Diceros bicornis minor: one gene and its partners. The protein of the gene in region 1 interacts with the protein of each later gene in a biochemical or structural test. Links are inferred from orthologs where the notes say so. Each region holds a gene or a part of one and is shown in the gene's direction. Other genes may lie near its edges. The genes, in order: SPI1, MECP2, IRF4 and IRF1.

Evidence for each region.
Region 2: the proteins of SPI1 (region 1) and MECP2 form a complex in vitro, tested with the Homo sapiens proteins (2 studies listed by BioGRID). The link is inferred for Diceros bicornis minor from reciprocal best matches to the Homo sapiens genes SPI1 and MECP2.
Region 3: the proteins of SPI1 (region 1) and IRF4 are reported together in a solved structure, tested with the Homo sapiens proteins (2 studies listed by BioGRID, with this or other methods). The link is inferred for Diceros bicornis minor from reciprocal best matches to the Homo sapiens genes SPI1 and IRF4.
Region 4: the proteins of SPI1 (region 1) and IRF1 form a complex in vitro, tested with the Homo sapiens proteins (2 studies listed by BioGRID). The link is inferred for Diceros bicornis minor from reciprocal best matches to the Homo sapiens genes SPI1 and IRF1.

The regions. Positions count from the first base shown.
Region 1 is NC_080770.1:23,047,902-23,054,910, forward strand, and holds the start of SPI1 (transcription factor PU.1), read left to right. Parts: upstream 1-4,008; 5' UTR 4,009-4,145; coding exon 4,146-4,256; intron 4,257-6,869; coding exon 6,870-6,969; intron 6,970-7,009. UniProt on the Homo sapiens protein: Pioneer transcription factor, which controls hematopoietic cell fate by decompacting stem cell heterochromatin and allowing other transcription factors to enter otherwise inaccessible genomic sites.
Region 2 is NC_080781.1:138,164,827-138,171,743, reverse strand, and holds the start of MECP2 (methyl-CpG-binding protein 2), read left to right. Parts: upstream 1-3,906; 5' UTR 3,907-3,971; coding exon 3,972-4,033; intron 4,034-6,917. UniProt on the Homo sapiens protein: Chromosomal protein that binds to methylated DNA. It can bind specifically to a single methyl-CpG pair. It is not influenced by sequences flanking the methyl-CpGs.
Region 3 is NC_080753.1:65,928,853-65,935,717, reverse strand, and holds the start of IRF4 (interferon regulatory factor 4), read left to right. Parts: upstream 1-3,855; 5' UTR 3,856-3,896; intron 3,897-5,259; 5' UTR 5,260-5,320; coding exon 5,321-5,539; intron 5,540-6,865. UniProt on the Homo sapiens protein: Transcriptional activator. Binds to the interferon-stimulated response element (ISRE) of the MHC class I promoter. Binds the immunoglobulin lambda light chain enhancer, together with PU.1.
Region 4 is NC_080740.1:51,801,817-51,809,229, reverse strand, and holds the start of IRF1 (interferon regulatory factor 1), read left to right. Parts: upstream 1-4,405; 5' UTR 4,406-4,835; intron 4,836-5,052; exon of another isoform or gene 5,053-5,155; intron 5,156-5,214; exon of another isoform or gene 5,215-5,229; intron 5,230-5,241; exon of another isoform or gene 5,242-5,321; intron 5,322-5,858; 5' UTR 5,859-5,863; coding exon 5,864-5,950; intron 5,951-7,250; coding exon 7,251-7,350; intron 7,351-7,413. UniProt on the Homo sapiens protein: Transcriptional regulator which displays a remarkable functional diversity in the regulation of cellular responses.

The DNA.
Region 1 (7,009 bases):
ACATTTGGGAGATGCTTCTGGAGTGCTGGCAATGTTTTAGTTCTTGACCTGGATGGTGCTTACATAAATGTTAGCTTTATAATTATTCTTTGAACTGTACATAAATGTTCTGTACACTCTTTTGTGTGAATGAGATCTCTTATGATTTAAAAATATCACAGTCCATCCAAACAGTGGAATACTATACAGTCTGTAAAAAGGCTAAGACAACTCTATACGCACAGGCATGGAATGGATTTAGGGAAAAACTTCCCCAGAGGGAAGTACAATGTGTTTAGTATGCTGCCTTCTGTGTAAAATTAAAAAAAGAATTAATCTGCCTCTATGCTTGTGTCTGCTTAAACTTTTTTCTAGAAAAATACACAAGAATCTGGTAACAGGGGTACTCTGTGGAAGGGGAACTGGGCAGTTTCCCTTTTTGTACCTTCTGGATTTTGTACCTTATGTATATATTACCTATTCAAAAAATAAAATAATTAAAAAAAATTTTTTTTGGCCTCTCATTTCCTGGAGCCCCCAAGATTTTTGGTTTCAAACCAATTTCTTGGCGACAAGCAGGAGAGCCACAGCCCAGGCATGAGGCACGTGGCGACCCCCAGCAGGTCGGGAACCCTCTCTGAGCCCCGTTTCCTCTGCTGAGGAAGAAGGAGGCTGGGCACGTGCTCCTCTAAGGTCCCATCGCCTCCCAGCCACCGGCTGTTCCGTCTCCTCTCTCCCTTGCTTTGTCCTCCTCTCCCGCCGTCCTCGTCCTGGCCTCTCTTTCTTGCCCACTTCTCTCTACTCCCTTCTTTGACTCTTTCTCCTAGTGTTTTTCTCTTTCCCTTCCTCACCAGTCCTTGCTGTTTTCCCCCCCGTCTCTGCCCTTCCTGCTTCTCCACGCTTGGCTTCTCAATCTTTCTTATTTGTTTGTTTGTTTATTTATTTATTTTGTGAGGAAGATCAGCCCTGAGCTAACATCCGTGCCAATCCTCCTCTTCTTGCTGAGGAAGACTGGCCCTGGGCTAACATCCGTGCCGGTCTTCCTCCACTTTATATGGGACGCCGCCACAGCATGGCCTGACAAGCGGTACATGGGTGTGCGCCGAGGATCCGAACCCGGGCCGCCAGCAGCGGAGCACGCGCACTTAACCGCTATGCCATGGGGCCAGCCCCTCAATCTTTCTTCTTGCTTCCTTCCTCCCCACTAGGATCCAGCCCCTCCTACAGCCCCAGAAGGCTCTTCATGCCCCAGCTCTCCACTCACAGCTATGTGACCCTGGGCGAGTCCCTGCCCTCTTGGGGCTCAGTGTAACAACTGGTTGTCTTGGTTATGTGTGATCACAAGGGCAGAAGCACCCAGCACAATGCTGGGCACTCAGAAAATAATTCTCCCTCTTTTAAAGGAGCTGTTAGCCCTGGGGCTGTGGGTTATCGGACTCTTCCTGCTCTGCTCAACATTGCTTAGAACCCGGATCCTACTATCCCGAAGGTCTCGGGAAGAGGCCTCTGGTGCACTTTGGGAGGAGGGATGGTGGGAGGAAGGATGGGGAGGACTCGGTGTGTGAATGGACACGGACGCTGGTACTACACAAAAGCGAGAGTCATTCTGCCCATTTCCAGAGATTTGCAGCCCTGGGTCTTTTTTGAGCTTCCTTACCCAGGCCCCTTGGGCCTGGCCAGACTTGGGACAATGGAATCTCTCTCCTCTCCTGGGGCCTCTTGAGACTTAGGCCTCAGGAACACCTAGTCGACCTGGTCTGCTGCCTGCATCCATGGAGAAGAGCACTACACTCCCTGCTACAACCAGCAAAGGCTCCCTGGTCGCCTCTGGATGCAACCCAGGCTCCTTGGCTTGACACTCAAGGCTCTTTACCTTCCCGGCCTGTCTTGCTTCCAGCCTCAAGGATGGCGGCTCACTGTCCCCTTGTTCTTTTCCACCTCCTTGCCCTTGCCCAAGCTGCTTCCTCAGTCAGACATGCCTTTTCCCTTGCCTGCTTTCCTTCCCGTGGCCCTGACCAAACTAATTGTTCCCCAATGCACCCGGCACCTCCCTCTCTTGTGCCCCTACCTCCCCAGAAAACCATACTGTCTGATTCCATGTCTGTTCTCTCTGCAGGCCTGTGAGCTCCTGGAGGCACGAGGCGTGCCTCATCCATCTTTGTGCCCCCTTACCAGGCCCAGCACATGGAAGACCCTCAATAAAAAGTCAATGATTAAATGACTGAATGAGCAGCTAAATAAGCACATAAACAAACTAAACCAAGACAATAATGCATGCATGCATGAATGAATGAATGCATGAGTACATCAAGCAGGACCTGGTTCTCATGGAGTAGACTCACCCCCACACACATCCAGTCAGCTGGGACTTGGCCTTCTTGATGAGGAAGTGGGGAGCAAGGATGGAGCTGATGTCAAGTCAGCCTGCCTCTCCTCTCCTCTTGGGGAGGAGCCTTGGTCAGGTTCCTAGGCAGTCCTGAGAACTGATGACCTGGACCCCTTGGAGAGTTCCAAGTGCAGATACAAAAAGTCAGTGAAGATAGAAGTGAAGTAGATCTAGTGGTGAGCCCAGATCTGTGAATCCCTGGTCTTTGCTGCCAGTGAAGAAACACTTAAGGACCTGGGATTCCACTGACAGGAAGGAGGCAGGTCTTAGAGGGAAAGGGGTACAAAGCAAAGGGTTAGACTACATAGAGGAGGAAGTTGAATGCTCAAGAAGTTTTTCCCTCACAGAGTGAACTCACCAGAGATCATTGGATCAAAAAATGTCTCCATTCATCCATTTGCCCTCCAGACTAGATTAGGAGCTCTCTGAAGACAGGGATCTTGTCTAATACTTTTCTATTTTCCCAGCATTCAGCATAGAGCTTGGAACTCAATTAATATTGGAAGGATGCATTGATGGATGGATGGGTGGATAGGTGGATGGGCGGGTGGGTGGGTGGGTGGATGGGTGGATGAGTGGATGGGTGGGTAGATGGATGGGTGGATGAATGCATGGACCAATGGATGGTCCAATCTATTCATGGGTGAATAGATTGATAGCTGGATATAGAGTGGATGAACAGATGGAAGTATAGACTGGTGGATTAATAACAGATGGATGGCTAGATGGACAAGTAGATAGACAGATGGGTGGATAGATGAATGGACTAACATATAAATGGATGAATGAATGGATAGTTAGATAAATAGACAGATAAATGAATGTATGGCTGGCTTGATGGGTGGATAGATGGACGGACAAATAGATAAAAAAAAATAGATGGGAAAATAGATGAATGGATGGACAGACAAGAACTCAGGTTTGTAAACAAGGAGATTATATTGATATTCAGGCATTGGCAAGGTGTGGGGAAACTGAGAGATCTGGGCTGGGAATAGAACCCCTAGGGATTTGGAAGAAGCAGTGGTCACTTAGGAAGCTGGGAGAGGAGGGTATAAGAACCTAGGACTCTCCTCTGGTGGAAGGGAAGCCAGGTTGAAGGGGCTCAGAGGAAAGGGGCAAGTGGCACTGTGCTGAGGACCCTGCCCCTGAGCCCAGCCCCAGCTTGAGTGGACTCTAGGCATTGGGTGCCCAAGGCCCAGAAAGAGTCAGGCTTGGCAGTCAGCGGGATCAGAGCCCTCAGCCAGTCAGGCTGACCCCAGAAAGTAGAGGCCCCACGAGGCCACCCATACCAACTCTTACCCCAAGGAAGTGACTGTTGGCCACGTGGGGGTCTCAAGAGAAGTAGGCATGTGTGGGGTTAGGGGTTTGAGAGCCTCATCAGGGCCCTGGGGCAGCAAAGGCCTCCAGGTGGTAGAGCTAGCCTTCCTCCCCTCCACTCTTCCTCTCTAGCCTAGCCCCCGAGGCCGCCCCTCACAGTCCCAGCTTCCTCTGGGCAGGGGGCCTGGCCCCCATGGCCTCCCAGGCCAGCCCCTGGAGCACCACCTGCCCCAGCCGGCCAGAGACTTCCTGTAGCGCAAGAGATTTATGCAAACGGGCTGGGGCGGTGATGTCACCCCAAGGGGACTATCTCCCAGTGGCAGGCCCTTCGATAAAATCAGGAACTTGCGCTCGCCCTGCAATGTCACGGGAGGGGGCTCACCCAGGGCTCCTGTAGCTCAGGGGCAGGCCTGAGCCCTGCGCCCGCCCCGAGTCCCTCCAGCCCCGGACGGGGCGCCCCATGCCGAGGGGCTCCTCACTGGCCCCCACCGAGGCAGGGGACCTGACCGGCTCGGAGCTCGGCTGGATGTTACAGGCGTGCAAAATGGAAGGGTTTCCCCTCGTCCCCCCTGTGAGTACCGGGACTCCTCCACTAGCCCAGCCCGGGGCCCTCGGACGCCCGCCAGCCTGCCCACCAGCCCGCCAGCCCACCGGCTGCCCTCCTGGCTCGCTATCAGTGGGAAGTTGGTGTTTCCTGCCTGGAGCCCCTGGCCTGAGACCCAGCGAGGGGGCCATTGGCTTCCTCGGAGCATGCCCCGGCGGGCGGAGGGCTGGGCCCATGGTGGGGCTGTGATCGGTGGGGCCTGAACGGTTATTTATAGATGGGGCTTGGGTGGCAGGCCGAGCTCCAGGGCAGGGTGCTGGGCGAGGATGGTGAGGGCGGCGGCAGAGAGGTGGCGGGGAGGAGATGGGGAGACTGGTGTTGGGGGAAGCCGGTCCCCAGGACAGTCAAGGCTTGAGGGCGGGAGGCAACAGGCCAGAGTCATGGCCCATGGCCTGGGTGCTCCTGGAGACTGAGGTTGCTTCAAGTCTGGCTCCCCAGCGCCCAGTCTGGGGCCTGGCACAGAGGACATGGTTGTTGACCGAAGGGTCTGGGCCTTGAGCCCGCAGGTCCCCGAGAGGCTGGGGCAGGGGCAGGGCTGGAGCAGAGAGTGGCGCTGAGACTAGGGTGGCAGTTAGGGTTGGGGCGAGGAGGGCAGGGACCAGGCTGGGGACATCCTGGGGCTGAGATTGGGGCTGGGGTAGGACCTGGCCAAGTGTGGGACTGGAGTTAGGGCAGGGGCTGAGGCTGGGACAGGACTGAGGCTGGAGGCGAAGAAGCAGGGCTCTCAGGGGACCCCAGGAAGGGAAGGCCACCAAGCTCCTGCTCTCGGTGACAGTTGCAGCCTTAGGCAGGTGTCAGACCTGGCCCGCTCTGAAAGGACCTCTCTCCTTCTCCCCACCCCATCCCCAGTCAGCAGAGGTGGGGAGCCCTGAGGGGAGCCGGGAAGGGCTTGGCAGGGCCTGGCCACCTGACTCAGCTTTCCCGGCCTAGAGGCAGCTCCCTTCCTCCAGCGGCCTTGGAGCCCCGGGGTAGCACCCCAGGCCTGACGTCCCACTACTGGGCTTGCTGCCCGGAAACCCAGTGCTGGGCTCCTGGCCTCCTCACTCGGCCAGACACAGACAGGACCAGCCAGCCAACCCCTACCTGGCCCTGGCCCACCCTTCCCAGACCTGAGACCAAGAAGGTGGGGGGCAGGCAAGGGGTGATGGAGGTGGTCCCAGGAAGAGCCGGGGGGGCTTGGCCACACTGTCTCTGATCCTTGACCTCTCACACCCTGAACTCCAGGGAGAGTGAGGCAGGAGGCACATCTTCTTGGGCTCCCACACCAAACCCCTCAGCCCCGCTCCACAGGCCCGGGGCTGCTCTGAGTGACTCCTGGGAGGGTGGGCTCCCAAGGCAGCCCTGGCCCCCAACCCAAGCCCTGAGGGCCAGAGTAACTGTTGTGCAATCCTTGAGTACACGCTGCGGGGGTGGGGAGAGGCCTGATGACTGTTGGGAAGGCTCCGGGTGTGCATGTCCCTGTGTCTGTGTCAGTGAGTGAGGAGGAGGAGGGGGAGGAGGAGGAGGGAAGAAGGAGGATGAGGAGGAGGGAATGAGGAGGACCGGGAGGAGTGAGGGGAGGAGTGAGGAAGGGAAGGGAGGAGGAAGGGGTGTGGGGAGGAGGATGAGGGGTGAGGGCTGAGGGTGAAGGGGAGGAGGGCAGGGAGGAAGAGAAGGGGGCACCTCAGTGAGGGTATCCGGAGGAGGATGGAGGAGGGAGGGTAAGAGGATCAGGGCTCCGGCTGTCCCACGGCCCCCAAAGCCTTCCTGGGTGAACGCTGTCAAACCCATCAGTGTGGATTTGGCCACTGGTCATCCTGGTGGCCCTGAACCTGCCTAGGGCCTGGGCACAGGCTGTGAGGAGAGCGGGGGGCTGGGGTGGGGGCTTTGCAGACTTTGGCAGGGAGGACAACCGTGTGCGCTGTGCGGATGAGTGTGCCAGTGGAATATGAGTGACTGTGGAAGGGTACAGGTCTGAAAGTGAGTGTTAATGGGCTTGAAGGCGAGTGTGGACACATGTGTTAGTCCGAGTGACTGCGTGTGCCTACAGGGTGAGTGTATAATGGTGTGTGTGGCCACAAACGTGTGTGAATGTGAGTGACCCTCAGAGTGAGTGTGAGTGGACGTGTGGGTGTGAGTTCACAAGTGGGTGTGTGGGCACAAGTGTGTCATAGGGAGTACGTGTACGTTTGGGGGCTGTAGGCGTATCAGGGTGGGCGTGAGAGGGTGAGTACGTGACTTGGGGACCGGGGCATGCAGTGTGAGTGTGAGTGTGAGGTAGCTGTGGGGAAGGGAAGGGAGGGAGGCCGTACTCTCCCCCTCAGCCCTGGTCCTCTCTTGACCTCTGACCTCCAGGGTCACTGAGGACCCCTTTCTGCGGGAGCCAAGGCTCCTGCTCTCCTGGGTCCCCTGCTCTCCTGGGTCCCCTGCTCCCGCCCTGTGTGGCTTCTCCCAGTTCCAACCAGAGAGACGGCTGCAGGCGGGATGCAGCTGCTCAGTGGCTCAGTCTGGGACGGTGGTGTGGACCCAAGATACTGGGGGCTACGACCCTGGCTGGGGTCTCCCCGCCACAATCTGTGTCCTGACACCCCCCTCTCTCAGCAGCCATCAGAAGACCTGGTTCCCTATGACACGGATCTGTACCAACGCCAAACGCATGAGTATTACCCGTATCTCAGCAGTGATGGAGAAAGCCACAGCGGTGAGTCCACGGCCCCGCCCTGCCCCCACCCCCAGCCTGG
Region 2 (6,917 bases), on another chromosome or scaffold:
TCCTCAGCAAAAAAAAGAGGAAGATTGGCAGATGTTAGCTCAGGGCTGATCTTCCTCAAAAAAAAATAACTCTCGTTTATTCAAGCTAAGGAATTTAGCAAGACTCTCTTCATTGGTTTTCTCTTTTGAAAATGTCTTGACTTCTAGTCTTGTACACTTACTCTTCCTGATCAAAAGTAACTTGTTGCAGTCTATAAAAACTCCTGGATTTTGACTAGTGCAAAGAATTTCCAGATTAATTTATGAGGAGATGACATCTTTATGATGTCTACTCTTCCTTTCCAGGAACATGGTAGTTTCTATTTTTTTTTCAGGTCTTCTTTTATGATTTCCAGTAAATTTTTATTGTTTTTTAATGTAGGGATTTCGGCATTTCTTATTAAGTTTATTCCCAGCTGTTTTAGAATTTCTATAGCTAGACTGAGTTGAATCTTTATTTTTTCCCATTACTTTTTCCAGCTTTTTATTACTGGCTGGGTCTATATGCCTGTGTCCTAACAACCAGGGAATAGACTTGAGATTAATGGGTCTCTCTCCTCATGGTGAAACTCCAAGGATGAGGTGTCAAAGAGAATGGGAGGAGAGGACACTTGGGTGTTATGTCCCACGGATGATGTTGCACCTTAGCTCTTGTGCTGTTTCTTGCTTTGTTCCTACTTAACACCATTAAGTATGATGTTTGCTCTAAGGGTTTTACAGATATTACCTTTGATCGGACTAAGGAAGGCCCCTTCTATTCATAGTTCCCGAAGATGTTGTTGTTGTTGATTATAAGTAGGTGTTGAATTTTATCAAATGCTTTTCCTGCATCTAATGAAATAATCATATATTTGTTCTCCCTAAATCTGTTAAGGTTGATTTTCTAATTTTTTATTTTATTTTTTTGGTGAGGAAGATTCCCCCTGAGCTAACATCTGTGTCAATCTTCCTCTGTTTTGTATGTGCGTCGCTACCACAGCATGGCCACCAACGAATGGTGTAGGTCTGCCCTGGGAACTGAACTCAGGCTGCTGAAGCAGAGCGTGCCAAACTTAACCACTAGGCCAGGTGGCTGGCCCCTGATTTTCTAATTTTAAACCATCTTTGCATTCTTAGGAGAAAACTCAACATGGTTATGATATATCATTACATACTGCTGGATTCAGTTTATTTGTCTAGAATTTTTACATCTATTTCTATGTCTTCTGTCATACTTTCATTGGCTCCTTATAGTAGTTACATTAGTCTCATAAAATAAGTTTGGAGAGATTTCTTTCTTTTCTGTTTATCACTGGAATTACCCACTCATTAAAGATTTGGCAGAACTCATCTGTAAAGCTCTCTGAACTTTTTTGGGAGGGGGAGGGTAGATTTTAAAATATATAGTCAATTTCTTTGTGGTTATAGAGAGCCTGTCCAGGTTTTCTGTTTCTAGAATCAGTTTTGGTAAGCTGTGCTTGTCTGGGAAGCACATTTATTCATTTTGCTTATGTTTTCCAATATACTGACATACAGTTCTTCATAATAACCTTTTAAAAATTTATCTGTTTTATCTATTATCTAGTGTATAATCTATTGTATCTGTGGTTACATCTCCTTTTCATTTCTAGTGCAATTTGCTTGTCTCTTATCTCCTTATATCTAGCTTGGTAGTGGGTTGGCTTTTCAGCTTTTCAAAGAATCAGCTCTTGATGTTCTCAGTCCTCTCTATCATTTGTTTCTGTTTCATCAATTTATGCTCATTTTAATTTTTCTTCCTTCTAGTTTCTTCAGGTTTACACTGTTGTTCCTTTTATAGCTTCTTGAGTTGGATGTTCAGCCTGTTGACTGCTTGTTGACCCAATTGCCTACTCAACATCTCCACTTGCACATTTAATGGGCACCCCAGGCTTAACATAGCCAAAACAGAATTCTTGATCTCTACCTCCAAAAATGTGCTTTTCCTACAGTTTCCCCCATCATGGTGAAAGGCACCCTTTCACTCAGTTTCTCAGGCCAAAAACTCAGGAATCATCCTTGTTTCTTCTCTTTCTCTATACCCTACATCCAATCCTCTCTGCTTGTGTTTTTTTTTTTTTTTGGTGAGGAAGATTAGCCCTGAGCTAACATCTGTTGCCAATCCTCCTCTTTTTGCTGAGGGAGGTTGGCCCTGAGCTAACATCCATACCCATCCTCCTCTATTTTATGTGGGACGCTTGCCACAGCATGGCCTGACAAGCGGTGCACAGGTCTGCTCCTGGGATCCGAACGTGCAAACCCCGGGCCACCAAAGCAGAGCGTGCAAACTTAACCACTACACCACCAGGCCAGCTGCATCGATTTTGAAAACATTGCTTGAATCTCACAACTTCTCAGAACCTCCACTGCTACCACCCTAGTTAAAGCCACTATCACCTCTCCAAGACTGTCGCCAGGGCCTCCTGACTGGGCTCTTGCTCCTAGTTTTCTCCCACCATGGATAGCTCTCCACACTGCACCTACAATATAGATCTGATGATGTCAGCTCCCACTTTAAAATCCTCCAAGGGCATCTCATCTCAGAATAAGCTCCCAGTTCCCATGGTGGCTCCAGATGCCTCTCCAACTGCAAACCCTATCACTCTCTAGCCCTTGTTAGTCCCCAACATGCCAGGCATAGTATCTCCTCAGGGCCTTTGAACTTGCCAGGGATGTTCTCTCCCCAGAGATCCATATGGGGAAATAAAACGAGGGCAAAAGTCTATGGATATCTAAATAGCAACCCCTTCACCCTAGCTTTATCTATCTCAAAGCCCTTATTACTATATGACATTATATTATATGCTTATTTGTATGTTTAGTATGAATCTTCCCCACAAGAATCTTAGTTCACTGTCTTGTTCAGTACTGAGTATCCAGAGCCTGGAATAGTGCCTGGCACATAGGAGGTATTTAATAAATGAATGGGTTGGGGGAGCCAAATCAGAATCAGAAGGTTCCTTGTTAAGCACAGAAGCAGCACAAGGAGCATTAGATGAATTGGATGATGGCTGGATCAGAGTCAGGTGGCTTTGACAAATAGTCCTGTCCTGATCACCCCGTTGGCTAAAACTTTTCTCATACTCTTAAATATTTTTCCAAAACGGAACTGCTGGATCTTAGCTCCCAAATCATCTCTTCTAGGAAGTCTTCCCTTTTCCCTCGAGGCAGAGCTAAGTGCGATTCCTCTGTGCTCCCACTGCCCCTTTTCCACGCCTCCACCAAACCATCTGATCCACCAACGACAGGACTCGTGCAGCCTTGGCATGCACCGTCTTCCCCCACCAGAGGTTCACGAAGGCCAGGGCTGTGATTTGTTGTCAGTTTATTCCCTGTCCCTATGAGAGTGTGGCACAAGGCAGGCTCAGATGAAAGAATGCAATGGGTAAGCCTCTTAAACCAAGGTCCCTCGGCTGGAACAACGTCAGGCTCCGGGGCAGGCAACTTTGCTGCTTCTACTGAAGATGATGACATTGAGAAAATGCAGGTGCAGTGAACCGCTTACTGCCGCGTATTTTGGGCGTTTGTGGACAGCGCGGGTCAATGGCCCGGGAGGGCCGCGCAATCAGGCGTCCGAAGCCTAGGCCTTTACTCGCCCCAGCATCCGCAAGGGCCCATTAATCCTTAATATTCAAATTCCGCCCACTAAACCAGCCCCTCCGCGCCCAAGCCACCTCTTTTCCCCCAAATGACGGCTGACGACAGCCAATCGGCAGCTGGACAGGGAGTCCGCCCCCTTTTCCCTGGCCGGAATGGACACCAACTCCCGCCAATTGGCGGCGTCACCGCCGAGACCCCGCCCTGCCCCAGCCGCCGCACCCAATGGCGAGCGGGCTCGCGGCGGCGCCGGGGGCGGGACGCGGGCACGCAGGTGCAGCAGCGCGCAGGCCGGCTGGGAGGGCGGGGCGCGACGTCGGCCGTGCGGGATCCCGGCATCGGCGGCGCGCGCGCTCCCTCCTCTCGGAGAGAGGGCTGTGGTAAAAGCCGTCCGGAAAATGGCCGCCGCCGCCGCTGCCGCGCCGAGCGGAGGAGGAGGAGGAGGCGAGGAGGAGAGACTGTGAGTGGGACCGCCGCGGCCGCGGGTGGGGACCCTTGCCGGGGGGCGGGGGGTAGGGGCGGGACGTGGCGCGGGAGGGGCCCGCGGGGTCGGGCGACAAGGCTTGCGGATGGCGTCCCTCCTCTCTACCCTCCCCCTCCCGCCGCCGCCGGTGACGGCTCCCCCCTCGGCCCGTCACCCGCACTTGCGGGTGACCGTCGTCGGCGCGGCCTCCCAAGGCCGCCGTCGCCTGGCGGCCCCCTTCCTTCCGCCCGCCTTCGGCGCGCATCCCGGCCCCTTGCCCGGCAGGCGCCCCTGTTGCCCGGGCTTCGCCTGTCGGGGCTGCGCGCGCGTCGTGCCCTTCGCGGGGCTTCGGGCCCGCGGCGCCGTCGCGCGCCCGCGGCCCCGGCCTCTCCCTGGATCGCGCTCTCCCCTCTCCCTCCCTCGCGCGCCCCCTCTCCCGTTACTCGGCCCCCCCACCGGCGCGCGTGCGCAGTCCGCCTCCCTTCGGGAGAGTGCGCCACAAGGGCTCCTGTGCTCTCACCCCCATCTCCAGGCTTTGCCTCCCCCTCCTTCTCGCCTATTCCATGACTTTCTGCCCCCACTGCGAGCGAGTCGGTCCACCATCTCTTTTCCCATCTAGCAAGAACAAGTAGGTGGCAATTATCGTCCACCCACAAAAGGGACTAGACAGTGTGTTCCTGGTCCCACAACTCGTCATAAAGAGGCGGTTATAGTTCCCTTTAGGAGCCGTGGGTAGGGCAATGTGTGTCCGGCAGCACCTGAGGCTCTTCGGTGGGAGCATGCCCCCAGGGTCTTTGGGGGTGCTGTGGCCTCAGAATATGAGCGCCTTCCCATCCTCCCCCCCTTCACCAGCGATCTTCCAGTTACATAAGTGGAGTGGGACATAGTATGTAACGGGCTCCCATAGACCTGGAGCGCGCCCTGCTCAAGATCACCAGTACCAGATGAGGCAAGTTCATCGCATCGCTGTGGTTCCTGTCAATTGTCCCTGAAAGTTTGTTTTCTTTTTAGTTTGGTTATGACTGAATCACCCAAACTGAAACTCAGGTGACTTTTATGTGGCGTGCCAGTGTTTGTGTGGTTTTGCACTGAAGACTTAAGGTCATTGTGAAGAGTCTAAAAAGATTGCTCTCACAGAGGAGACCGACCGACCGTTTATGACATTGCTAAGTGTGGACCCGAGGGGGGAAAAGCTTGCTCTGGAATACCTCTGTGGCGGTCGCTTGGTGTGGATTGGTTACAGCAGAAATGGGCTCCACCACAAAATTGATATTCCTGACTCATGGTCAGGCAGATGTGTGCTTCTGGTTATTTTTCCAGGAACAGGAATGGGCTCTGCAGAACCATTCACATGTTGTGCCTCTCCTGTGCAGGATCAGTACCCCAAATAGATGGTAGGATGGAATTCAGGGGGTGGTTGTGATCGTGGAACCAAACCTACCAGCGTGTGATGCTAAGTGGCTTAGAATTTGTAGGTCTCTCACAAGTTTTAGGTATTTTGTTATACTAGAAATATGAAGCATATTTGGGCCTTGGTAGTAAAACTCACTGTTAATAGGCAATTATTACTCTAGAGGATAAATTTGGGTTTCATGGCTGGAATTTTTATCTGGATCTCAGTGATTTCAGTTAACAACGAGATTAAGCTGACCTCTTGGGTCTTTTGAAGTATGCTGGATCCTTACCAAAAAAAGCCCAAAAAACAAAAAACCAGGGTCTGGATTTTTTAGGTCTTTTGGAAATCTCTATCAGAGATATAGGGAAATAGGCTTATTTATGGGCTTTTTAGGACTTCTACTTCAAATCTCAGTCAGGAAGCCTATGAAACACTTTTATTTTCTTATCCGGACATGTCAGAACCTTAAAGGGCACAATCAATCTGGTAGACATACAGTTGATTAAATAAGTCGCCACAGATCACCCTATCGTGGCATGTCAGCTAGGTGGCAGATCGGTGAGGTTCATTCTTGTCCACACACAAGACACACAAGCCTCGCTTGACGAAGGTTCCAAGGTTTGTACCTCTCAACCTGAGACATGACAGGACGAGGGCTCTGCTTTGTTATGCTTCATTGGCAATGCGTTTGCCTCCTCGGGTGCCCCTCCATTTAGCTGTTGGTCGTACCCTTAGCCCTTTAAACAGCACAGCTTCCAGAATATAGTTCTCTGCAAGGTGCCTGGTGGCATGTAGAGTGTGTGTCCTAATAGCTCGAAGAAACCTTCTACACTTTCTTGCTGGTACTGGCCTGTCACCCTGTCTTTTTCTTGTTGTTACAAATTTGCCTGGAATGCTTTAAACCTAGAGTACCAGGTCTTTGTTTCACCTGATAAAGCATGACGCAGTCAAACCTTTCTCTGACTTTTGTGCTGTTTGTGTATTGGGAGGGTTAGAATACAATTTTGCATTCTATTTGCAATTTCCAGCCAGAGTCATTGTTTCCCCGCCTGCCCTGCCTGTGAGTGGCCGAATCTAGTGGGGTGAGGAGGCAAGCTGTGGAGTTTGACAGAAAAACTGGCTAGATGAGTCCAATATGATGTTGCCCCCACTGGAATACTCCTTCCCCTATGTGGAAATGGAATGAGAAGCTCACTTCTTGAACCCAAAATAAAGAAGAGCAGAGGTGAAATAGTTTCCACCACTAATGCCTGGGACTGTTTGCATGATAAATGATGTGTCTTGGAACCCATAATCTTTTAGAAAGGTGAATATCAGTGGAAATCTTTTAATTAGCTAGGAGCAGTTTGTCGCCAGGCTGCCTGAGTTATCTATGAGGAGAGAATTGTAGAAAATGTTTGACATTTGTAGTAACTAGTGTTTTAAGCACATGGGGTAAAAACATAGTCCTAGACTGGCAACAAGTTCCAGGGAGTGTGGCAGGAC
Region 3 (6,865 bases), on another chromosome or scaffold:
AACTTCTTCAAACTGGGTGTGCAGTGAGAGCATTTACTCATAATAAACGATACTCATTTCCAGAGTATTCCATCCCAAAACCTCCCCTGTATTAGTAGCATAGAAGGTTAGATTTTTTCAGAGGATTAAACTGGCTGAGAATCAGCACTGTTTCCTCCAATTTCCTCAAAGTGAATATTGCTTTGAGAAGAAGAGCAAAGAGAAGATCAGTGGTTAGGTCAGTGGCTTTAAAAAAATGCCGCTTTTCTTACTCTGAATTTACCATAACCAACAAGGCCACTGGCTGCCAATAATAGTTTAAGTTAGAGCAGAAAGAAGAAAACAATGATTTAGGGTTGGAAGAAGGTTCAGTGGTTGCCTACTGCCAACCTCCACTTCACAGACAGGAGAACGAGGTCAGAAGACTGCACCTTACCCACACTGACTTACCCACTGAGTGCCAGACTGGAGTCAGGACGCCACCTCCAGACCCACAGGCCTGCACTCGCAGGCTGATCCTGAAATATCAGTGCAGCAGGCAGCCAAATACCCGTAGAAAGGAAAAAGAACAGTTCGTCAGAAGGTGTCCTTGGCAAGCCATCCGGACCTCAGTGAATCTCTGAATCTCTTTCCTTATCTGTACAATGGGGCTGAATATCACCTGCCCTGCCTCCAGGCAGATGGGGTTGGGAGATCAAATGAGATATAGTCTTCCTAAATGTTGAAGCAAAACATAAATGATAATAGTCCCGATGTGTTGAACACTTGGAACATGTGAGGCATTGTGCTAAGCATCATTTCGTTATCACAGCATACGAGGAGGCAAGAAAGCCATTGCCTTCATTGTACCTGGGAAGGTAAGACTTTGGTTAAATAGTTCACCCAAGACCTCACGGATTTCAACCAGGTCTAGCTGACTGTCGTATTTGAGCATTTAATTACCAATAATACCATCCAATAATACTACTAAATACAATACTATAAGATACTACTAATATGTAGTATATATCACTGTACTAGTACTATACCATACAATGTACTATAGTACTTATTATATATATAATATATATAATATAATATATATAGTACTAATATTATATAGTACTATAGTACATTGTATAGTATAGTACATACTATAGTATATTACTATATTACTCTAGTATAGTATATTGTATATTACTCTATTACGTAGATATATTACTATTTATAAAATAATATAATAATACAATAATAGTATAATAGTACTGCCATACAAGATACCATGGTCAATGATAATAATTAGCATTGCACACACATATAGCCAAAGAGCATTAGAGGAGATAGTTATCCCATATGAACTACATCATAACATTTTTAGTATTTTCCTGATTTTTTACAGGTAGTTAAAAATGATTGCCCTTTAACCTTTTTCACGGATATAGTTGCATTGTTTTTAACAAATTGTAGTACTCTCCCCTTTCAAAGAATGAATTAGTGAGAAAATACTTTTATCCAAAACAGGGTTTCAGTAATTTATTTTTTGTGCCTAGTATGGGTTTTTCTAAAATATTTTCTTACATGTGAATGTAAAATTTTAAAAGACTGATTTTTAAAATATTGAATTTAGGTAAATTCAGCTTTTCTTATAGTCTCTTTACAATAAATGTGAATTGGAAATTGCAGCACTCTGTTCAGATTGGGCTCCACCTACAATGGCATTTCCACATCTGGACCATTCACTGAAATAACCTCCTTGCAGAATATCATGATCAGCCTTTGTCTTAGGTAGATATTCAATTTACTGATTTCCTATTTGTTTGCACTTTTTAACAAGTTGTGACATTTGAAGATAACTATCTATCTTTTACTGAGGAACACTTTGATTTCTCAAGTGTGTGGGGGGAAGGTCAACTTTAAAAACTTTTGTCCTTTTTCTTTCGACTGTGACTAAGATGTCTTTGGTGAGCAACTGGCAGCCCCTACCTGCTCACTCCCTCCCCTTCCCCAGGAGTGATGAGGACATCAAGAGTTTTAGTGATTAAAATATATTATTCTTTGTATTCACCTCATCATAAAAAAAAAAAATCACTTCCAGTAGATCAATATGACAATGAATAAACCAGAAGATGGCGTTGAAGATTAGCAATCACATTTTAAAACAAGGTAGATGTTGTAAAGTCTCAGAAAGTTTCATACAGCCGGTGTTGTTTTGAACTTCTAAAAGGAGATGACTGAGGAAAATGTTGAAACTAACTAAAGCTGGTGCAGAGAACACGTGTGCGAAAGTGCTAAAAGCTCTCATTTGCCATTTTTGTTTTTAGCAATCTCCTTCTGTCTGTTGTTTGTGAACACCTTGGGGAAAAGTAATTCACTGATTAAAATGTAATGCAACATGGAGGCATGATCTCTGCTTCCTTCACTGAGTATCCCAGTGCCTACAACCATTCCAGACAAGCAGCAGGTGCGCAAAAAATGTTTGTGGAATGAATGAATCTGTGAAAGGAGAAGAAAAACAGGGTGTAACCAGAATTTTCTTTGAACAAAACCCTGTTGTTTATTACACAGACTCTGATAATGGAAAACTTACTTGGGTGAATAAAAATATGGCATCCTGTGAATTTCTGAGAAAGTCCGTTAGTTGTAGGAAAAGCATTTCTAGTCTGTGCCTCACTCACGGCCTGTTTTGCTCCAGCCTAACCCTATTTTTTTCTTTGGGTAGGAGACATTGACCCAATATATAAGATTAAAAGAAAAACTGAGAAATAAGTGAAATCAAAAGCTTTTCAAAAGTTGCAAGTTGACCTGCGGTGGCGATGGTCTAAAATCATATAGAAACCGCTGATCTGACGGTTTACCTGCAATCGCTAAGTACGTAAACATGCTCGGAGCATCCAAGACGCTCCGGCGAAAGCGCAGTGGTCAGGGAGCTAGTTTGGATAATAAGGGCATCCTAGAAAATTAAGTAAAATTGCAGGTCCGTTTGGATGTTACTCCTGTTGCGGACATTTATACCCCAGATTGCTTCCTACCAGGTTGAGGTTAAAACCATGTCAGTTAAAGTGAACTGAAGTGCAGAAGCAATTAAGCGCTGGGATACTTCGGGATCCCTCCCCCAACTCTTTCATGTTGCCATAATTGAAACTTTGGGGGTCATGCATTGTCTATCTGAGTCACCTCAATTCACCAGTTTAATAGATGCAAGAGCGTGTAAGCATTTCGAACATGTGGACAGTATTTGAACCACAGTTTATGGCTCAAGGGATCTGGGCCATTTCCTTTTTTCTTTTTAATGAGCACGATGTTCTCTAAAGACCGTGGAGGAGCAGGGTTCTCGGTGACAGCGAGGGTCACCCCTCGCTGGGTGTGACCCACCCACCCACAGTTCCTCGATGTGGACAATTCCTCCGTCTTTGGTTACGTGCTCCACAAGCGAAGTCCCCTTCGCACCGGATTCCCGCTCCTACACGCCCCCCACTTCCCGCCCTAACCGTGTCGCTGTCTTTAGCTGTTACTAGTTGTCGACGGGCCTCCCGCAGGTCCTGGCGCGGAGGCGAGGTCCCCATTTCGCGCCTTGTCCTTCGCAGGAAACCGCCCAGAGTGAGGGTCCCCGAGGCCGCGCGAGCCCCACTCGAGGTGCGTTCGCTCTGCGCGGCGCGAGGCGGGTCGCCGAGGGCGCCGGAGCCCCCAGCCTGCGGCGGCAACCCCCCCGGACCCCGTTCCTCTGGCCCGGGCCCTGGGAGTCGCCCGCCGAGCCCTCGTTCTCCTCTCGCGGCGCACCGCCCCCCAGCCCCGCGGGCGCAACCGGCCCCGCCCGCCGCAGGCTCCGCCCCCAGCGCGGCTTTTAAGCTCTATAAAGTTCCTCTTTCCCACCTCTGAATCTTAGTTTCACCGCTTGAACTTAGGACCCACCGCTGCCCTCAGCTCCGAGTCGGGGCGAGGTAAGGTCTGGGGTCGGGCAGCAGCATAGATGTGAGGGTGGCACGACAGAGAACCGGGGGCGCGAGACCAGAGGTCCCGGGGTCCATCTCCAGGGCAGCGCAGGGGACCCCAGCTTCGGAGCCGGGAGGGAGCACGCCCCTTGAGGGATCCCCGACTCCCCCTATCTGCTCTGGGTCCGGGGCCTTTGTGCGGGCTCGGTGGAGGGTCGCCCAGGTCGCTGCCCGAGCACTCCCGCCGTCTCTCCCTGCTCCCGCGGCCCCACCACTCTGCAGTCGGCCCAGCCCGGGCCGGGGGAGGCCACGCGCGGGACGGGATAACGAGACTGTCAGAGCCCCAGGAGTGGCCGAAGCGGGGCAGTCGAAGGGACCCACACGGGGTGGCGGGCTTTCCCGCGGGGGACAGTCCCTTACTCCCGAGGCTCCAATCCGAGGCTCCTTCTCTTGCTCCTCGTTCTTAAGGGGCCCAAACTCACCGCGGCCTCCGGCGCGTTGCCCCCCGAGTAGTGGTGGAGGAGGAGAAGGAGCTCCAAATATGGGCTCCTCGGGGCGCTGCGCCCTGCGGTCCCTCGCTCTCCCCGGCACCCTCCCTGCCTCCGCTCTTCCTCGCGGGCCTCTGGGTCCGGCTGACGCTCGGCGTCCCGGAATCTCCCGCTACTTGGCAGCGCTCCTCACCAAAGACCAGGTGTCTATCGCTTGTTGCTTCCAAGGCCCACTTAATCCTTGCTATCTGGCGAGGGCTCAGGGATATTCTTGGAACAAAGAGTGCGGGTGCGGGAGGTTCTAGAAGGCCGGAGGAGGAGTTGCTGAGTGCCGCGCACCTGGAACGCCCCGACCGCAGGCGAACCCGCGTGCGAGATCCTTGGCGCACGGGGGCCATCAGGGGAGTGTGAATTGGGGAGTGGGCGAGAGTGGAAACTGACAGTGAAGGGGGAAATGGACTGGCGTCGGCTTGGGACTGGGCTAAGAGGAGCGGGAACTACGAGTGAGCGTGCAAACGGAGTGCCAAGAGTGGTGGCGGCTGGATTTGGGAGCGTGCGCAAAGGCGAGAGTTGTGTGTCCGGGCAGCACTTGGGCTGTGGGGTGCGTAACAAGAATGGAAAGTTCAGAAGGTGGGGTAGAAGGATGGACTCCACGGAGGGCGCGCTCGGGAGGCGTCAGGACTGTGCGCGCCAAGGGCACGAGCCCGGGCCAAGTGAGAAGGTGCTTTCTCCTAAGGGCCTTTGGCAACACCGACTTCTTAGCGCGCGCGCCTCGCTGCCTCGGAGACTCCGGCACCTCGTGGTCATTACCAGAGGGGGTTGGGACAGGGTGCCCCGAGCGCTGTGCCGCAGTGGCTGAAAGGCGGCCCTCCTCTCCCCTGCAGCTCAGAGCGAGTGCCGGAGGCGGATCCTGAGCGCGTGAGGGCGACAGTCGGCGCGCTGGGCATGAACCTGGAGGGCGGCGGCGGCCGAGGCGGAGAGTTCGGCATGAGCTCCGTGAGCTGCGGCAACGGGAAACTCCGCCAGTGGCTGATCGACCAGATCGACAGCGGCAAGTACCCAGGGCTGGTGTGGGAGAACGAGGAGAAGAGCATCTTCCGCATCCCCTGGAAGCACGCGGGCAAACAGGACTACAACCGTGAGGAGGACGCCGCCCTCTTCAAGGTTACAAGCCCGCGGGGAGCCCACGGTCGGGATGGGAGAGGGCCCCGGAGAGCCCGGACGGTCCCTAACCCCCACCCCGCGGCGAGGCCGGCCCGCGCCGGCGCGCCCGGCGGTTCTCAGAGGGAAGGGGACCACACGGGGTGCGCGGGACGGTGTGTGCCCCTTAGGGCGAGGGGCCCGCGAGCATCAGGTGGCGATCGGCCCAAGCCACGGGAGAAGGAGAGAGGTGTCAACTACTCTAGTGATTTCACAAATGGGGGGACCGGGTCCCAATCCTGAGTGTGTGATGTGAGCAGTACCCAGGGAGTCGGGCGGCTCCAGCGGCAGGGAAATGCCTGGAGGCTAACCCCGGGTAGCGGCGTCCAAGGACGCTGGCTTGGGTGTTATAGTGCATTACTGTTCTCATCGGAGCCTTTTTCTGTCCCTCTGGATCCCTCCTTGCCTCTTTGATCAGTGTGTGTGTCTGTCTCTTTCTGGGAGCACCCGGAGTGTGCTCGAGTCTGTGTCTGTTTTTCTGTCTCTCTCATTAGTCTGTATTTGTTTCTGTTTTTTCTCTCCTGTTCTCTCTCTCTGGATATTTTTCCTTTGGTTGTCTCTATCTCTGGCACGTGCTCTCTCCTTCTAGCTGAGTCCTTCCATCTGCTTCTCCTCTTTCTGTCTCCCTCTGTCTGACTCCCTCTTTCCAAGTCTTTCTGGAAAATTTTCTCTGAGTTTCTCTCTCTCTCTCTCTTTCCTTCTGGGTCTTTCCATCTTACTGTGTGTTTCTCTCTTTCTTTCTGTCACTCTCTCTCTTCCCCTCTCTCCTCCCCACCCCCTTTGGATTTCTCTCTCTTTCTCTTCTTACTCGCTGTCCTCTCTCTGGACCTTTCTCTCCTGCCCTCGGTGTGTGTGTCCCTCTCATGACGGTTCTCCCTAGAGCAGTGCACCCACTGAACTGTGCATCAGGGCCCAGCCCCACCACCTGTGGGCAGAGCAGGGACGGGGACTTCCTCAGGGACTTTGCCCTCACGAGACCTCAGATGGTCTGACTGTCCACATGTGCTCTACAAGTAGCAGCTCAGCCACAGCTCTGTCCCTAGTTCCAATCAAACTTGCTTCAGACACTGGGTGGGTAGCCTTTCCAGCGGTCCTCCACATCTCACCTGTCTTTTACAAATACCGAGGGAATGTTCAAACCACTTGCCTTCAGCTCAGCGATGATAGGGTCCAGGGTGGAAAGTATTTTACCTGGAGGACACCTGGGGTCTCTTTGTCTCACATTTTGAGCAACAGTGTAAATCTGAAGCACCTAAGCACCATTCTTTCCTTTAGAAATGCAATTCCTAG
Region 4 (7,413 bases), on another chromosome or scaffold:
CGCTGGAGCAATTCCTCGGCCCACTCTTACAATGCAGGACCCCCTAGTGCTTTCCCAGCCAGCGGCAGCCTCCCACTCTGCGTTTAGGGCTTTTATAACACCACGACGTTTATTCTGCTGTGTCATACAGCATTTTTGCCAGAGCTGTGAGAGGGGAGGGGCTCGTCTCGTGCCCCAGCATATCCCCAGGGCCAAACCTGGAGTTGACCCAGAGCAGGAGTGCGATTCATATTTGTTGAATGAATTAAGAAACGCCTTTCTTTCTCTCCAACTAGGCTCCTTTCAGGCAGGGTGATTAAGCCTGGATTCTGTCTTCAAGCTTTTGAGTGCTTTCGGATGATTTTATGCCTGACTGGTGCTCTGTACTTCACAGTTTAGGACTGCCTGCCTCCCAGGTTTGCTGTGAAAATAGAGATGATGGCTGGGAGGGACTTGGAGCATCTAAGAGAGCCTTCCCTCTGGACCTGGGAGGCTGGATCGCCTGCTGGGGGTTCATCTGCTTTGGAGACTGTGGCCTCTTCTCTGGGTAGCAAGCCCCTGCAGGGGCCCAAGGATGCCCTACTCTCAAAAACCTAGTTAAAGCCTTGCTGGGTCCTGCACTTCAGGACTAACTGGAGCCCACGTAGCGGGTGCAGTGTGTTCTGAGAGCCTAGGGAGGGGGCTGGGGACAAGATTTGGTCCATCAGGGAAGAGGCTCCCACACGGGTGATCTTGCCCCCAGCATCCTGATTGCAGAAATCACCTCAAAGGAGGCTCTGCCAGCCAGTCAGCCTCCTGCCAGGCACCACAGGGCCCCATACCGAGAAACTGCACAATATATTTACCCTCATTGAGTGACAGTATAGATGGGAGGCATCCTGTGAGTGAGACCTTGCTCCAGAGCTAACCCCCAGCTAACTCCAGCTGCAGGTGTGAGGAACCTGCTCAGGTCTCTTGCAGAAAAATTCAGCCTTTGTTCCCCAGAAGGGGGAACATACAAACTGTGTTCAGAGAATGGAAATGCAGTGAAAGGTTCATGCATACTGTTAATACATGTCATTTGACTAATGTTTTACAGTTTAGAAAGGAGTTTGAGGGGCTGGCCCAGTGGTGTAGCCCTTAAGTGTGTGCACTTCGCTTCGACGGCCTGGGGTTCACCAGTTCGGATCGACGGCCTGGGGTTCACCAGTTCGGATCCCGGGCGCGCACCGATGCACTGCTTGTCAAGCCATGCTGTGGTGGCATCCCATATAAAGAGGAGGAAGATGGGCACAGATGTTAGCCCAGGACCAATCTTCCTCAGCAAAAAAAGAGGAGGATTGGCATTGGATGTTAGCTCAGGGCTAATCTTCGTCACAAAAAAAAAAAGAAAGGAGTTTGATAGTCTGTCTGATTTCATCTTCACAACAATTAGGAGAGATGCGCAGAGAGTATCTCTATTTTACAGATGAGAAAACTGAGGCCCAGAGAGGGAGAGTAACTTGCCTAAGGTCACACAGCAAGTAGCAAAAGTACAAAAACCCAGCTTTCAGACTCAAATCCTGTGTTCTCTTTCCAACGCCCTTTAGTTACTGCCAAGGGTAGCAGAGCCTTGGAAGAGAAGTTTGGAATGGGACCCCTAGGACCAGAGCGAGCAATGATTTGAATGTGGGGCTAAGGAGTCTTGGGGAACTCAGAATGCTCCTGGGTGGACCTGAATAGTAGGGAGATCATCAAAGTTAGGGAGATCATCCTAGTGCAGAGGTGCCAGGAGGGGCAGGCTTGATGGGGAGGGAGGCCCAAGAGGAGGCTGTGGCCACAACAATCTGGTCCTGGAACGTGAAGACATGATTTGATGTGAGGAAGGAAGACCCAGAGGATCAGGTGAGGCCAAGAGGGGAGGAAAATGGGAAAGACTTCACCAGGGAGGGAGCTGGAATTAGGAAGAGAGAAAGCTGCTGGGGACAGTGTGGAAAGGGGTGGAAAGACTTCTGCTTGTGTGTGTGTGAATTTGTGGAGAGGGTTGTAGAGGAGTGTCCAGAAGGCAGCTGGAGCTGCGGTTTGGAAGTCACCTGCCCAGAGGGGATGGCTGGAATTACAGACGATGAGTATTTTGAGGCAGAGAGGGGAAAGGGCCCACCGTGAATTACTAAGAAATACCTAGGGAAGATTCTATGTGTTCTGCTTAGTGTCACAGGGAATGTGTGCTACATCTTAGAATGGGATTCATTAAGAGCAGTTACAATAAAAATTTGAGGTGCTTAAATAGGGTTTAGCTTTATTTCGCTGATTTGGCATATAGCACCCCCAATCATGATAAGTGGATTTTTATAGACTTCAAGATAAAATAAGAATCCCTAAAATTAAAAGTAAAAAAAAAAAAAAAAGTCAAAGAACACTTCAAAGATGTAAATGACAATTTCATTGGTAAATCCTAACATTGGGGAATTTTTCCTAAGCAAAAAATTATTGATGTGCACAAAGATTTAGCTACAGAGTGTTGTATTATGAAAAGATGGAAATAACCTAAATGTCCTACAATAGGGGATTAATTGGGTAAATTTTTACTTATCCTTATGATAGAATAATACGTACCCATTACAAATGATATTGCAGAAGTACCTTTCATGACATGGAAAGATGCTCATTATATATACAGATGCACATATAGATGATTATCTGTGAATTAACGTTTTTGTTTTAAAGCACTTTTTACAGTCTCCTCTTGCCTTCATAGGGTCATTTTGGTTAATTTCTCAGACCACATGAGCTGCAAACTTCCTCTCCCTAATCTCATTCTGAATTTTCCATGGCCGTGTCAGATTCTTAGAGACAGGACAAGCATCCATTTGCTGCACAGAGAACAGACTTCACAATTCTGAAGCCACTTGTTTTCTGCTCTTCTTGCTCAGATGGTCTTGGTCTTTGTAGTGGGTTCCCACTCCTATCTGTCACTTAAAGCACTCCACCCCTTCTCCCCCTTCCAGGGCCTCAGCACCTTCCCTTCTCCTTGACACCCAGCTAGGCTCATTCCTCACAGTTCCTCCTGCCTCTGCCCTCTCCCAGCTCCTGCACCCACCACTGTCTGGAGACAGCTCTGACCCATTCCTGTTGGTCTCCTGAGAACCAAGCTTGGCGTTATTCACAGCATCAGATTCTGGGGCACCAGAATTGGATTAACCCATCCATCTCCTCTGTGGGAGGGAGGCAGTAGAGTGACTGACAGGTGGAATGCTGCATCAATGTGTCTATTTATAGACTGCATCATTGCAACTGGGTGCTGCTGTGGAAGGAGAGCTGGGGTTTGGGGAGTGACACAACCAGCCCTGCCTGGAAGAGTGATTTACTTCTGAGTCAGCACCTTTGAGGAGTTGAAGGAAGGAGCCTGCTGGGCCACAGTTATGCATGGAAATGAACACAGCACAGCCTCTAGAAGTACAAGTGGAGCAAGGTCTAGTAAGCACACAAGTTAAGTAGCTGCCCTTCCCAAGTGGCCTGGGGCCTGGGCTCCCCAACCTTTTGGCTAGACCCATGGCCTTGGCCAGCCATAAGCAATGCCCTCATGCTGCCAAGAACCTCTCTGGGCCAAGCCTTGAGGACCCAGAAACAACACCAAGGCTGCCACTGAGGAGCTCCCAGGCAAAGGACATGTGAGGATGTGGAGGTGGCCTAAGGCAGGAGTGCTAGGAGGGACCAAGGCTACCCCACCCCAGCTCAGCAGTCCTTGATTCTCTGAAACAATTCTCCTCTCTTTCCCTAAGGCCAGACGTGGGGCAGTCCCAGGGATGTAGACGGTAAAGGGGGAGAGGTGTCTCCCTGGTCATTATTGTACTCCCAGCAGGGACCTTGCAAACCATGCAGCATCTGCTGCCCAAAAAGCATGGAGCTTTAGAGACATCATCTCTCTCTGTCACTGTAGACCAGCAAGGTAGGGCTATCACTATTTCGTAGTTGAGGAAACTGAGGTCCAGAGGCTGTGCCAGCAGCAGCCAGCCTGGGATTTCCTCTCGTCCGGCAGCCCCAAGCAGCACGCCAGGCAGAGTAGGCTTTCCTTTACTTTCCCAGGGCAGGCGAGTGATCTGGAGGTGTGTCACCCCTCAAAAAGGGGGCAGTGTGAGGGTCGAAATCCTCCCTTCTTGACACCCCATTAACAGGCCTGAGGAACCAGGTTACTTTTCAGGGGTTCCATCTTGGTGTTCACTCTGAAGAGGGCGGCAGGTGCCCGACTGACCCCCTCACCTGCGCTCTGGAGATTGATGTCCCCACCTCCGGAGAGGAGAGTGAAGAGACAGCCACAGGAGCTAGCAGGCTGGGAGAACGCGGAGTGAGGGAAGTAACCGCGGGGCCGGAGGGTGTTCGGCTTTCCAGGACAGCCTTTCTCCCGGGCTAGCTGCTGTGGGGGTGGAGTGGGAGAGGGCGGGGCGGGCCCGCGGACGCCCCGGGGCGGTGGCGCCGGGCCGGAGGGGGTGGGGAGAAGCAGCCGCCCTGTACTTCCCCTTCGCCGCTAGCTCTACAACAGCCTGATTTCTCCGAAATGATGTGGCGGCGCCGGCCAATCGGCGTCCTCGCGGCTCTTTAGAGGCGGGGCCGAGCATGGGTTGGGGGAATCCCGCTAAGTGTTTAGATTTCTCGCCGGCGCCGCTGCCCCGGCAGAGCGCGCCACTCCTTCGTCGAGGCAGGACGTGCGTCCGAGTCGCGCGGAGCAGAGGCCAGCAGGAGCCGTGCCAAGCCCAGGCCAGCCGTGCCCAGCAGCCCCGCGACCCGGGCATCCTCTGCCTTCGCTCCCACCCGGAATCGCGCTCCCCGCGCCGGCATAGCAGCTCCCGCTGCGCCAGGACCGGATCGCGCGCCGCCACCGGATCGCGCCCGCTGCAGAGGTGAGCCGCCTTCGCCGCGGAGGGACCGGTGGCGTCGAACAAAAGGGCGCTGGGCACCAGAAAGTGGGGGCCGAAAACCCCAGGCAGGAGAGTCGCGGGCGCGCGGCGTTGTCTGGGTCCCCGAGCGGTCTCGGGAGGGCGCTGGAGGAGCGGCGAGCGGCAGCGCGGGGAGGGCGGACCGCGGCGTGGACCGCCCACCCGGCAGAGGTTGCAGGCGTGCGGTCGCTTTCTCAGATCTGTATGCGCGAAGCTGCCGGGGGCCTCTAGGTGGCCCGGAGTGTTCGTTGCGCGCATCCACAAGCCGTGCCGGGAACTCCAGTGTACGTCCGCGCGTGGGCGCTCTGTGTTCCCGAAGGCGGCTTTCGGCGGTCCCAGCTCCGCGCCGAGGCCCCAGGTTTCAGGCTATCTATGCAAGCGGCGGGGGCTGGGGCTTGCTGCCCTGGGTGGCTGGAGGACCTGCTGGAGCTGCGGGAGGAGGCGCCACAGGTGTTTCTTGGGCCACTTCGCCGAGGAGGGGAGCCAGGCAGGAAGGGTTTGCGTCCCGGCCTCTGTACTGTGGCTGTCAGGGAGGCGTAGAATAGATGGGGGTCGGGGGAGGATGCCCAGGGTGCAGGGTGACTGCTTGCCCTTCGGGAAAGGTGCACAGCCAGTGGCAACAACTCAAGTAGGGACATTTCTTGGCATCAAGCAAAAGAATCCCCTCCCTTCCCAAAGGATTTGAATTTGGGGAGAAAAGTTCTGGTATTAAGATTCCTGTGTATTTTGCCTCTTTTTCCTGCACATAAATCCTGAAACTATCACTTGCAAGCCTGTCTCCTCCCAAGGCTCTCTAGGAGGGGGTGAGGGAAGGGGCAGAAGTTGGAGGGCAGATTTATTTCAGTGAAAGCCCCTTTCCTCACGATTGTAGTACCTGGGACCTGGCTGAAGGTGGGGAAGGTAACTGAATGACCTGGGGTGGGGCAGGGTAGTGCCTATGGCTGCTCAATAGATTCCAAACAGGAGCCTTCTGTCTTCTCTTTACAGCCAACATGCCCATCACTCGGATGCGCATGAGACCCTGGCTAGAGATGCAGATTAATTCCAACCAAATCCCCGGGCTGATCTGGATTAATAAAGTGAGTGTAACTCTTTGGGTTTGTCTGCCGCTATTTTAACCCATGTTCTTTGGGGGACCAAAGCTTCAGATGCAGTTCGAAAAGGGAAGTAATAGGGAGCAGGCAGCTGTGTTTCCCAGTGACTCCTGCATGCAGGGGGTGTGGGAGGCCCAGCCCTGGGCCCCACTTGCCCAACTTCTGCCTTTCTCCCTCCTCAGGGTATGGACAGGGCACCCACCTGAGGGCACTGACAGTTCCCAGCAGCAGGGCTCTGCCAGCATCTGCAGAGCTGGAGTTCTGGTCTCTTCTGAGGGAGACTCCTACAAACACACATAGCATCCTACAGGGCTCCAGTCAGACTGATGGGAGACAGAGAAGTGGGCACTGCTGGCAGGAAGGTGGCTGGCTCAGCAGGGGACCCAAGAATTAACCTTGCACCATTGCCCAGGCCCAAGAAGCCTCTTGCTGGTGCACAAAGGGCAACACAGACCCTGCAGACTTAATAGTAATAATAGTATTCATAATAATAGCTAATGCTTACTGTATACTCACTAGGAGTGTGGCACCATGCTAAGTATGTTACTTACATTGTGTCATTTAATCCTCAAAATAGCCCTGTGAGGTAGATCCTATTAATATCTCCATTTTCAGATAAGGAAACTGAGGCACTGAGAAGTAGAAAATAAGATCACATAAAAAGTGATAAAGCCAAGATTTGAACCTGATCAGTCTGACTCAAAAATCCATACTGTTAATCACCAGTAACAACAGTGAGACCTTAGTCTTTATATTTGTCACTGTGTTTTGTCATTCCATAGAAGACAAGACAGGGACAAAGAGGAACAGTGACAGTGCCAGGATCACACAGGTAGTCAGCATCCAAGTCTGGCCCAGGGCTCCCTCAGGTGTAGGGCCAGGACCCCCTGTGTAGGAGCCAGTGGTCCCAGGTGTCCTAAGCAGCCCCATCTAATTGATGGAGTTCTCACTTCCATGTTGATGCTGACAAGCCAGAGAGAAGCATCCCAGGGAGCTCTGTATGGGTTCCAGCACATCTGTAACAGACAGAGTGAGGTCTTTGCTGAGCTGATGGTACCACAGCTCATCAGAACCCAGAGCCCCTTCTGAGAGATCCAGAGTGATAGAGTAGCTGGTTTAAGCCAATCTCAGGATGGGTCAACCCAAGCCAGATGTCAGGGTGAAAAGGGGAAGTCAGCCTTTTCCCACACCTGGGGGGCTGGGCAGACTCAGGCCAAAAACCTGTGGTCTCTGAGCTGACACAGCCTTGTGTGTGTGTGTGTGTGTGTGTGTGTGTGCTGTTCAGGAGGAGATGATCTTCCAGATCCCATGGAAGCACGCGGCCAAGCATGGCTGGGACATCAACAAGGACGCCTGTCTGTTCCGGAGCTGGGCCATTCACACAGGTGTGTGCCTTGGACTTCAGCCCAGGAGGGGCCAGGGAAGAGATGAGAGGAGGCACTTCTGTT